Oryzias latipes: one gene and its partners. The protein of the gene in region 3 interacts with the protein of the main gene of each other region in a pairwise test. Links are inferred from orthologs where the notes say so. Each region holds a gene or a part of one and is shown on either strand. Other genes may lie near its edges. The genes, in order: rfx3, mrm3 and fhl3.

What was found.
Region 1: the proteins of fhl3 (region 3) and rfx3 interact in binary tests that used the Homo sapiens proteins (3 or more experiments, as listed by UniProt). The two-hybrid records come from large-scale screens. The link is inferred for Oryzias latipes from reciprocal best matches to the Homo sapiens genes FHL3 and RFX3.
Region 2: the proteins of fhl3 (region 3) and mrm3 interact in binary tests that used the Homo sapiens proteins (3 or more experiments, as listed by UniProt). The two-hybrid records come from large-scale screens. The link is inferred for Oryzias latipes from reciprocal best matches to the Homo sapiens genes FHL3 and MRM3.

What each region holds. Positions count from the first base shown.
Region 1 is NC_019870.2:13,046,791-13,050,517, forward strand, and holds the start of rfx3 (transcription factor RFX3), read right to left. Parts: upstream 2,908-3,727; 5' UTR 2,598-2,907; intron 1-2,597. UniProt on the Homo sapiens protein: Transcription factor required for ciliogenesis and islet cell differentiation during endocrine pancreas development. Essential for the differentiation of nodal monocilia and left-right asymmetry specification during embryogenesis.
Region 2 is NC_019871.2:10,297,131-10,300,883, forward strand, and holds the start of mrm3 (rRNA methyltransferase 3, mitochondrial), read left to right. Parts: upstream 1-1,483; 5' UTR 1,484-1,693; coding exon 1,694-2,061; intron 2,062-3,094; coding exon 3,095-3,339; intron 3,340-3,412; coding exon 3,413-3,574; intron 3,575-3,652; coding exon 3,653-3,753. UniProt on the Homo sapiens protein: S-adenosyl-L-methionine-dependent 2'-O-ribose methyltransferase that catalyzes the formation of 2'-O-methylguanosine at position 1370 (Gm1370) in the 16S mitochondrial large subunit ribosomal RNA (mtLSU rRNA), a conserved modification in the peptidyl transferase domain of the mtLSU rRNA.
Region 3 is NC_019874.2:23,737,300-23,741,052, reverse strand, and holds the start of fhl3 (four and a half LIM domains protein 3), read left to right. Parts: upstream 1-974; 5' UTR 975-1,262; intron 1,263-3,753. UniProt on the Homo sapiens protein: Recruited by SOX15 to FOXK1 promoters where it acts as a transcriptional coactivator of FOXK1.

The DNA of each region.
Region 1 (3,727 bases), on a different chromosome or scaffold from region 3:
ACTTTGCTGTGATGAGCTGCTGCGAATACGATGCACCGCTCCTCAGAGGTCCTCTTGGTTTATCAGGGAGACAAGTGCGACTCCACCTTTCAAATCTTAAAAAACCTCCTCAGAACCCAAACATTGGTGGATTTCGTTTAGGATCGTCTCCCAGCCTTTCCTGTTATTTGAACGAATCGTGCAAATTTCTATTGTTAGAAATGTCAAAACATCCCAGAGCCGTCTAATCTACGGCCCCTGAAAGCTAGTTTCATTTCATGGCAACAGTTTCCAACTGTATGGTTTGCTAAACCCCATCTCTTAACTTTTGAACTGTTCTCTTGACACACATCCATCTGTCAGGCGATGAAATACTAGGACTCCTCTCCAGCAGGGGTTTGCTGTATTGTATAACAAGCAAACCAGCTGTGATTGCCTGTGCACAGATTTGCATCTGTGTTGTGCCAAACTATTTTCAGTCATTCAACTCGCTTTAATTACATTTATGTTTTTCAATTAAATCCATTTTATTTCCTACGTTCTTTTATTTTCGTTTGCTGCAACCTTAGATTTAATATAATGCATAGCCTTTGCACATTTACGGTACACACACACACACGCACAGACAAATCGCAATATGGATTTGGCTTTTTTAATCTGAACTCTACAGCCGCAGTTCTATGCAAGGACTTAAATTATTTAAAGACTGCTGCAGCTGTTACACAATTGTTCTAATTTTAATTTGTTTGTTGCTGCAGCTGACATTTAATATACCTAATTTGCAACAGGGGACTGACTCATTTTGATTGAACTCTATATTTTGACAGTATGAGTATGACTATTACTCACTCAATGAAGTAAACCAGATCTAAAAAGAGAAAATAGTTTTGTTTTTTTTGCGTAAAGAAGATTTTTGCAATAAAATAATTGTTTGGTTGTCACAAGAACATTGAGAGTATATAAATCTAGCATTACAATTTTTTTCAATCTGTACGAATTTCCACCTGCTGAGCACAGTGCATCAAAAATGAACACAAAGGAAAGCAAGTTAATAATGACGATTGGCCAGCACTGGTTTTAGCTAAAAACTCAATGTAGCGAATCAAGGAAAGCACTGAAAGTCATCTCTTGGCACGGTGGTGGTAGGATGATAATTTAGGTGTGTTTGGAGTTTAGATCTTGCAGCCAATGAGTCATTTATAAATTTTTCCTTGTGCCAAAATATAATCGTTTAACAAAACATCCTTTATCAGTAGCTAAAGCTGTTAAACTGCCTTATGCAACAGGTCAAACACACCAACAAAACTACAACAGCTGAATAAATAATTGGCTTAAACAAAAAACTTAAGGATGGAAAGAAAAGAAAAAACTTTTTACAGATGGTCTTAAGACAGGTGACGAAGTAGCACTGCTACTACCTCTGTCACAACCAGAATTCACCCTTGTGTGTTTTTTTTTTATTGCAACTCACACACACAGACAAAGATACACAAACCCATGCACACCTGTTCCCTCTCCTAATGGGAAGGAGAGGCTGCAGGGGAGCGGGAGACCAAGTGGACCCAGGAGTAAATGTGATGCAACACTTAGAAACTTAACATGGAAAAAAAAAACGACTGGAGGATCATGGGGTCTCCCCAGTTTTTAGTTTTTATTCTGTTTAATGGCAGAAATTGAAACAGCAAATTGGTGTGTTTAATTATAGTTAGAAAATATGAATAAACACACTGAAAAAAACCAACATTTTTTCTGAAAATAAAACAACTTTTTCTTTTTTATTAACCAATACATTTTTTTGAGTAAATATTGTGAAAAAAAGCACAGAGCTAGTATTTAGAACATCCTGTATTACCTCAAATATTGAAATACATTAATATAAATCTGATTGTGTAGTAACTGATCCCTACAGAACTGATGTTATCGCGTTCTTATCATTATTACCAGTTGATCCCACAAAGAGCACAGATGGAGAGCTAACGCCGCGATCTTGCTCCCTAAGACAAAAGGGAAAGTAAAGGCTCAGCTATTGTGAACCTATTAGAGAGTGAAAGCCCAGCGAGCACACACCACTTTCCTTTGCTAATCGACGAACAGATTTCTTAGCGGCAAAAAACGCTGAATCACCCGACGCGGAAACACACAACCCGACCGTAACATTTACCCGAAAATGGGACAGCAACAGACATCGCTGGCGTTAGCAACCTAGCAACAACAGACACCTGCTCCAGCTGACCAGTTAGCATCACTGGCTAGCCTTTGCGACCACTCAGCATGGCAACTTCAGACCAATTCTCTGCGAATAAAAGCTCGTTTTTTAGAACAAAATGGAGTCGGGCCGGTCCGTAAAGCTTTGTAAAAGGCTACACAGCCGGTTTCTGTTGGCGACCAGGACGCCTCGCCTCAGTTAGTATCCACAGGCAACGTTAGCACGCAGGCTAACACGTTACAAAGAAACACCCTCGCTAGCAAAACTACCACAGCTACCCAGCGAGCCTTCATCCAACAGCAGACAAAACGCAAACCAACAGCATCAAACCCCCCCTGATAAAATTCATATCCTGTGACGCCGAGGAGCATCTTACATTTATGCTAAAAATAGTCAAGGATTTAAATCAAACCTGAGCCGTGGACTGGTTGATGAAGATGAGGATGATGGAGGAGGTGGTAATGATGGAGCGAGAGGTTGTTGTTGGTGGGTTACAGTCGCCAGGACTACGGTGACTATGGCGCTGCCTCACCGGGCAACAGTTGCTATAAAACTCACCGGCAGCGCGCAACCTTAGGTGGGAGGAGCGCGCGGCGATACCTACGGCAAAAATCAAAAAGGAATAAAACGATTTCAACCATCGATGAATTGATTGGACTGCTTCTCTTTCGGCTTTTGTCTTTCTTTTCTTTCCTTTTTTCGGGGGGCATGTACAGATAAATTCCCCGATATTTTTCTCTCTCAATCAAATTACTTCGAAGTCTTGACTTAAATAATACAAAAATAAATAAAATGTATTTAGCCATTACTTTGTTTTCCATGTTATTACAATGTTGTGGTTGTTTTACACTGCAGTATATTTATCAAAAATTGCATTGCAATTGATAAATCGTGTATACTTCTGTATCATATTTAATTTAAAGGTGAGAAATTATATATTTTCATGCACTCAGTTGGAATTTATATATATATATATATATATATATAGGTTTGGGAAATAAAAGTAAAAGAACATACAAATCTATGTACATCCACTTGTAAATGATGTCCTTATAATTACTCTTAATCATAAATAGACATGATTGTACCTATACAATACATAACCCATCAAATCCATTTAATGTGAAGTTTCTCAAAATGAATTAAATTATTTGCTTAGAAAGGAATGTGCGGAAGTCAAATTTTATAATCCCACCCCTATTATGCTCATGTTGTTGATTAATAACTTTATTATTATTATTATTATTATTATTTGCTTAATTATCGATGTTCTTTTGACAAATATTAATGCATTCAATAATTTAATGTACTCAATTTATTTGTATGTATGTTACTATATTTATCATTTAAATATTATTTTCAGCACTTGCAGACAAATGGTGTCCTTCTTTTGAACTAAACTCGGGTGCAAAAGGTGAAACTATTTCATCAAACCAGGTTTTTTAAAGGAAGAACAATGTTAAAACAAAGCAGGCATTGGCTTCTGCTGGACACAAAGCCTAACAAACCACCTGTATCCAACACACCGCCTTTCTTTTTATT
Region 2 (3,753 bases), on a different chromosome or scaffold from region 3:
AGTCAATCAGGATGTGAAATCACTTGAGTCAGCCAATCAACAGCAAGCTGGTTAAGGAGAGCTGGAAAACAGGCAGGGTTGAGGCTCTTCAGGACCAGGGTTAACATAATAGGCCTCCATCTGATTGGTCAAGAATGGGAAGGCGTCCATCTGATTGGTCAAAGCATAAAGGGATTTATTTGATGTGTTAAATGCTTCAAGCTGCTAGAAGATTGTTTTAACACATTTTGGGTTTGCGATTTATTGCGATATTCGCCGTCTTTTGCGATATGCATATTGCAGAGCTGGATATTGCGATAACGATAAATTTGCGGTATATTGTGCAGGCCTAATTGATACATCATTTGTTTTTGTTAAAGAAGAGAAACAGTCAGCCTTAAAAGCTCAAAATTTAATGAAATGCATTGTTGCAGGACTTCTTACAAATAAAAAAATTATTACAAAGAATTTGTAAAATAATTTCTAAACATTTAGAAGTTTTAAACCTTTTTGACATGTACTTTAAATTATTTAGAAAACCCAACAATAAGTCAATAATAATAATAATAATAATAATAATAATAATAATAATAATAATAATAATAATAATAATAATAATAAAATAGTAAGTCAATAAACAATAAATAAATAACAAGTCAATAAATAATAAAAAAATAAGTATTTATTATGATAACAATAATAGTATAAATATTCAAAAGAAGTCCAAAAGCGAAAAATAGATTTACCCTAAAAGAACAACAATAACAAAAACAAAGAAAAACAATAGATTTATACTGATTCATGTGAATGATCAATTTGTGTAACACAGATGGTATGGTGTTGGGTTTCAAGCAAACAGTCTGGCCTCTTATCTAAATGTGTTTCCACAAATGTTTTGAACATAGCCAGACTGTATTGCTAGTTGGTTCCACAGTGATCCATCTGGGTTAGCTCTTTTGATAACTAAGATCCACTTTTTCCTTAAGTCTGAATCCATTGGAAAACTGCAAGAAAAGTTCAGTCACTGAGTCAGAAATGTATAAATCTGTATTACTATAATAGCCTAGTATGCTGTATACAGGTTTAGCAAAATAAAGTGTACATTTATGTCGACGGCAAATTCTCCGTACATCATGCAGCATGTTGATAATAGCCCTGCAGCATCATGCATGTCAACATGTGTATGATTAATGAAGCCCCTGCAGCATTAATTGATGAAAATTCCAGTACTTACCTGTGAAATGATATACCTTCCTCCTTCATGGACTCAGTTCTCTGATTTCGGCAGTTGAAACCCGCACAATGAACTGGTATTATGCAAAAAATGTGTTCACATGCATGCACTGCAGTAGTAACTTGACCTCATCAAGATGGCGGTGCTCTCCTCCCATGAGGAACCACGTGATGTCTCCTCTAGTGAAACAACTCATTGGTATCGCCTAACCTTGGCGACGTCTTTTCTCGCGAGACAATTTGAAAAACTTTGTTAAAACAAAACTCGATATTATTGAGTCAATAACTTTAAACCATGAGAAACACTCAGTAGCTTGCAGAATATATTAAATAACTCGAACATGATCGATTAAACTCTTGAAATTTCCTATTAAAATGTGACCAGTACCAGCCAATTTGCACTTGATGGCAATAACGAGCACATGTAGCTTTTTAGAAAGAATAAAAAATAAAACAGAAGAAGACTAGCAAAAAAGAAAAAATGGCGGCCGTCATGAGAAGCATGGTTTGCCTTTTCCCCAAACAGCTTCTTTCAAAAAGCTGTGGCTTAATAGTGGAACCAAGACGTTTTGTCCGCGGACTGAGGAGAAAACCTGCCAAGGTTTTATTTCCTGAACAGCAGACGGGTAAAGTGGTGAAGCCAGCCCCAGAGAGCGATCAGACTGCAGTAAACCCACAGAGGAAGAAGACAAATGTCACCTCTGCGACAGCGCAAACGGACAAAAAGAACCCTGTGAGGATAAGAGATGATGCAGATTCGACTGTGCAGCATCCCCGGGCTGCTGGCACGAAAGATCAAGTTGATGGGTTGCGCTTTGAAAGGGCTTCTCAGGGAGACAAAAGGCTGGCGTGAGTAAACAAACTCAGTGGGTTGGAGAACTGTTTGGTAGATGTTTGGATGGCCAAATGCCTCGTTTTTTATTTGACAGTCTGGTAACATTAAAGTTGGTTACTGGTTTCAGTTGAAACTTTAAAATCAGGACGAAGGTGACCAAAAGCTGCATTTCTGCTTGTTTTCCTACAAGTCCTGCTCTGGCATGTTCTGTCTAACTCTGGTTCTGATCCTGGTAATCAAGGCAAATATTTCTGGAAAACATGCAGACACACCAGCCTTTGAGGTCAAGGGTTGTCCACCCCCGTTTAAAATGAATGGGTGTGTGTGGAGAGAGTGGGGTTATTCATGCTTTTTGTAACCATAATCTCTGGGAATGTCATCTAAGATGCCAGTACCTCAGCACTGGTCAATTTTTCTTTGTCTTGTAAAAACAATTCTGACAGTTTCCATTTACATTCACACTTTGCATTTTATTGAAGTCTCATTTTGGATGCGAGGGGTTGAGGGCATTCTGTGTGTTTTAGAATTGGATTTTTAATTGTTTTAAACCTGTAAACCACTTTGTGTTACTGCTTTATGAGGAGTGCTTTGTAAATAAAGTTTGACTTTGAATTTGAAGTATCCACAACAGAACCAGTTCAGATGTACTTTGTGACTTAAATGTGATTTGTGACCAGAACTGTTGTCCGTGTAGATAATCACTGGCTGCCTCTTGCTGGCTTTCAGCAAAGCAGAAAGTGCCGTTTGATCGCTACAACCTCAGAGGGTAGTTATGCAATTTGATGCCAACAATGAGGAGATTGCTGAACTAACCGTCTGGGTAACAAGAATACATTGTATGTTTAGCAATTTCACTTAAAAATTTGTTTCCTAATATTGCCTCTATTGATAGTATTGTTGTCCAATTAACCAAAATATGGTATCTTTTTAAAACACTATCACGCTCCAAGTTTCAAATTAAAGCTATATATGCTTTTTTTTTTATTCCAATAAATTCTAAATGGCAAACTATTGTTCATGGCTGTTCTCCACATGCTTGTGCTGCAGGAAGCTAGTGAGTGTTGCTCGGTCCAGGACATTTCGGGAGCACCAGGGTAAAATCCTCCTGGAGGGCAGGCGTTTAATCTGCGACGCTCTGCACGCTGGAGCCATGCCGCAGACGGTGTTCTTCAGCACAGTGGATCGACTCAGAGAGCTGCCCTTGGACAAACTGAAAAGAGCTGCGTTGGTGAAAGTCAAATTTGAGGAGATCAAACTCTGGTCTGACGTTGTGGCGCCACAGGGAGTGATAGGTATGGGTCAGTCAGTTCTAATGAACAGACATTCTGAGTCTTTTTTTTCTAACTTAGAAACTTTGATCCGCAGCAATATTTTCTCGGTCCGACCCGTCACGGCTGAATTATGCAAACAAAGGTCAGTCGGTGGGACTCTCTCTCATCTGTGACAACATTCGGGACCCTGGTAACCTTGGGACGATGCTCAGGTGTGCTGCAGCTGCTGGTTGTAGTAGCATCCTTCTAACAAAAGGTATACCAATGTTTAAAAAAAAAAAAAAGTTTTACTCTGCTTGTAGTTTTACTAATTTGTCTATTATTTGCCCAACAGGCTGTGTGGATGCTTGGGAGCCAAAAGTCCTGCGTGCTGCAATGGGTGCACACTTCAAGCTTCCCATCTATCCTAACCTGGAATGGGGTGATATTGAAAAC
Region 3 (3,753 bases):
CAGTTTTGATTAAGAAAACATGTCTTTTAAAACAAACAAAAGTGGTAGCCCACTTTTATTTAAAAAAGGAGTCTTACATCAACAGTAAAGAGAAAGCGTTTTTTGTCTTTTTTGTCTTAAAAAAGAGAGAAAATATCTTAAAAGGAAAGGCAATGCATGAGTTTGAATAGTTAATTCCATTTTCTTTGTAAAATGTCATTAAATTCTATTAAAAAAATCTAAATTAATAATGATTCGTGTTTTTAATGATTAACACTGAAGTAAAGAGCATTCACTTTGTCAGAGCATAGGTCAGCTTAATCCTGAATAAGTCGACTTATTCGTTTGTCTTAACACAAATGAATCATTTGAACTTAAAACACTGTAAAAAAAAGAGGAATGTAATTTAACAATTAGATCAATCTTTAACCCTTCGTGGTCATTTTTGGAAGGATTGTTTATGTCCCTCCCTTTCAAAACAACAACCATAATAATAATACATATAATCCTGTGATGTAATTTCATTGATGGTTTTGCTATTTTTAAAGAAATCCTTCAGAAGCCTCCAGCACCTGTGGTCCACACACTCAAACATCTCATGACATGCAGGCTTCACATATTCTGCTCTAAACTCAAAACAAACAAAATTCTATTATAACCCACTGCAATGCAATGTTGAAGAGACAAAAGAGCCTTGCAAGAATCTCCCCTCTTGCCTGCATGGGCCTTTTCCACTCTTGTTTGAAGTCGCTGGAAAGAGGGAGGGAGGAATGCCTTTTTTGGGGGGGCGGGATCTTGTGACTCACCAGCAACTTCCTCAGTAGTAGGACAAAAGTAGCCGGCAAGCTGCACCCCTCTGTGCTGCAGAGTTTTCATGCTTTGCTTCCACTTTCGGCTTCTCCCATCAGGGGTCGCCACAGCGAACAAGTCGCATGGTAAATTTGGCAATGTTTTACGCCGGATGCCCTTCCTGACGCAACCTTCTCAAACCGGGCTTGGAACCGGCAGAGGTAGAGAAGGGAACAGGGAGCAGACCGGAGTCGAACCCGGGTTTCACGAATGGAAGGCGCCGCAAACCAGCACGAGCTAATGACAAGCAGATAAAACAGAACGTTTCAGAGCCGGAGAGCGACACTCCTGAGCTTTTTCTGTGAGCTGATCCCTGTGCTGACCTGAGCGGCCGTGTGCTGACCTGAGCGGCCGTGTGCTGACGGGAGGAAGGCGGCTGGATCACCACCACAGCAGCTTGGAAAGGTGCCTCCACACTTCAATCAGTCTGACTGGTAAGAAGAGACATTTTGGCTCCATCATTTTCATTGAGTAACCTGTTGATCCTAAATCAAACACAGGTGTGTATGAATATATAAGATAATCTGGGTTCTTTCAAGTCCATTACTTAGTCCTTTATGACTGAATGAAAGTATAGTTGGGGGGGAAAGGGTTTTGAGAGTAGGCTCAACCAAATATCTACAATTCCTGAAGTAGAAGTATCTGGTTGCGTGTTTAGACATTGTCTAAATTTGCTGTTGCTGTCTTTAACTTTTTCCCTTCCCTCTCATTCAGTAATTCAGTTGTGTCCCTCTGTACACTCGTAGAGTGTACAAGGCGGAGGAAATATAAATAACATCCTTCCGATGAAGAAACAGACCATATTAGCTTGTGTGACCCTCTGAACTGTGCATATGAAGGATTCAGGAGCAACTGTTTTGTCAGAGAAGTTCAAGCTGAGCTCCAAGTGAAGCCTTCACAGGACTAAGTCCCACAGGCGAAACTTGCCTCTTTTTTTCTGCAAAAGGGGAAAGTGGCAAATAGCAGTAAGAGTGTGCAATGGGTGTGTCTATGCTGTAGCGTCTGGAGTCGTGCAGCACCTCATGGTACGTGTCATTGTGATGACAGTTTGGCTCACCTGCTGGGTCATGTGGGTGCAGTGGGAGGGTGAGGTGGTCAGCCTTGACTGTAAAAAGTTTAACAGTCTGTATAACAGATAGAGGAAGAGATTGTTTTAAATCGATGCCTTTGGTTCACAAAAAGCTCTTCCTTAAGCTCTGATTGAATATAGTCTGCTGAAACAGGCAGCAAAGAAAGAACTGGGGGTTGTTCTGACATCGGTTGCAAGAGAATCCCAGAATTTTTGGGAGATTAAAAGGTCTTTCACAAACAACTTAATCTTGATTTCCAGACAGAGAAAAATTGCATTGATTCTTCATGATCTTGACCCAACTAACAAACTGCAGCATGAATAAAAAGAAATAATGTCAATGTCCTCCTCTTAAACATAAGCAATCCTTTTTCTGCAGTATAGAACATACATTTTAATCTGCTGGTTTGTCTCCAGCGTGGTAGACAAAAAGAAAATCTCCTGATCCAACTGTGAGTAGATGCAAGAGAAGATACAGCTGCAGCCTGGACATAGAAGTCAACATGGTGCTGTAGTATGCCTCTTCTAAAAGTTTTTGGTCTGAGGAGTGCTGGGGTGCTCTTGCCACCTACAGGTTTTTTTCTTACATGGTCAGTAAGGATAACCAGCAGAGGAAACACCCTTTAACTACATGTCTCTTATTCGGTTCCATTTAGCATCTGGGAAGTTTGCCTTGACAGAGCATACAGAGCTGCATAATGTCATTGTTTGCTTTTTTCCTCCCACCGCCTCCATTTCTTTGACCATGGTCACATTCTTCAGAGGTCCCAGTGTTTTCCAAAGGTTAGCTCTGCGTGGTTTTTGGACTCTGGCCAGTTCCAAAACTGCAGCAGGACTGCAACCAAATAATTTGAACTGGTTTTAGCAGCCTTTATGTGTTGGCACCATTTGAAACCTGGCCAATGGTAATGATGGAGGAGTTGGCGGTCAAGTGTTTGCAGGTGGTTTTTGAGAGCAGAATTGGAATTTGCGTTGATGTAGTCCTCTTGTGACATTGTGCAGCTGTGTGTTCCTCCATTGGCACAATTTGTGCTCGTGTAATTGCTCAGTGCCTTAAAATCCCACGTGTGGGTGTCTGATCAACAGTCCTACATCACAGAGTTTCGTTTGTCTTCAACTTCTACATAGTTTTACTCTCCACCTTCACTCAAAATGTGAAGTACAACCCAATAATCAGGTGCCTGTTTGAAAAGCTTACTTATTGAGGTCTCAGTAATAATTAGTTATAATTTTGGTGGCACTGTCTATTATCAGTACCTGCTTATCCTTGTGGAGTGTCAAAAGTTCAGGGCAAAGGCGGGATGCGGCCCGATAATTCCATCACAAGGCTTTGGTGAAGTTAAATAAGTCCGTAATGTATTAGGTTTTGGTTCTAATCTTTTTGGGGTTTTTTCTGTAAAAAAATGATTAAAGGTGCTATAACATATAAAGCTTTGAAAATCACAATAAAGATATTTTGGAATTTAAAAAAAAAAGGTGCTATGACAATAAAACCATAATGCAGTGCCCTGGATTGAACCTCCTCAAACAGCTATGAGAACAATAATATTGGTTTTGTCATTTTGTGTGTATATATATATATATATATACATATATATATATATATATATATATATGTGTGTGTATGAAAGTGTAGCACTGGAACTTCAGCATGTTTAAATTGGTTGTTATGGTAGTCAGTTCCCTCCTTGGTAGGATGTGGGGGCGCGTGGCTGGCTGTTGTAGTGTGTCTGCATTCCCTTAAAAAGGGGGGAAGTGACCTCAGATTTCCTGTGAGGGGATTGCCAGGTGCTGTAGTGTTATTGTGAGGGTCGCAAGGCTTCCTCCGTGGATGCTTTGTTGGTAAATGTCTGAAA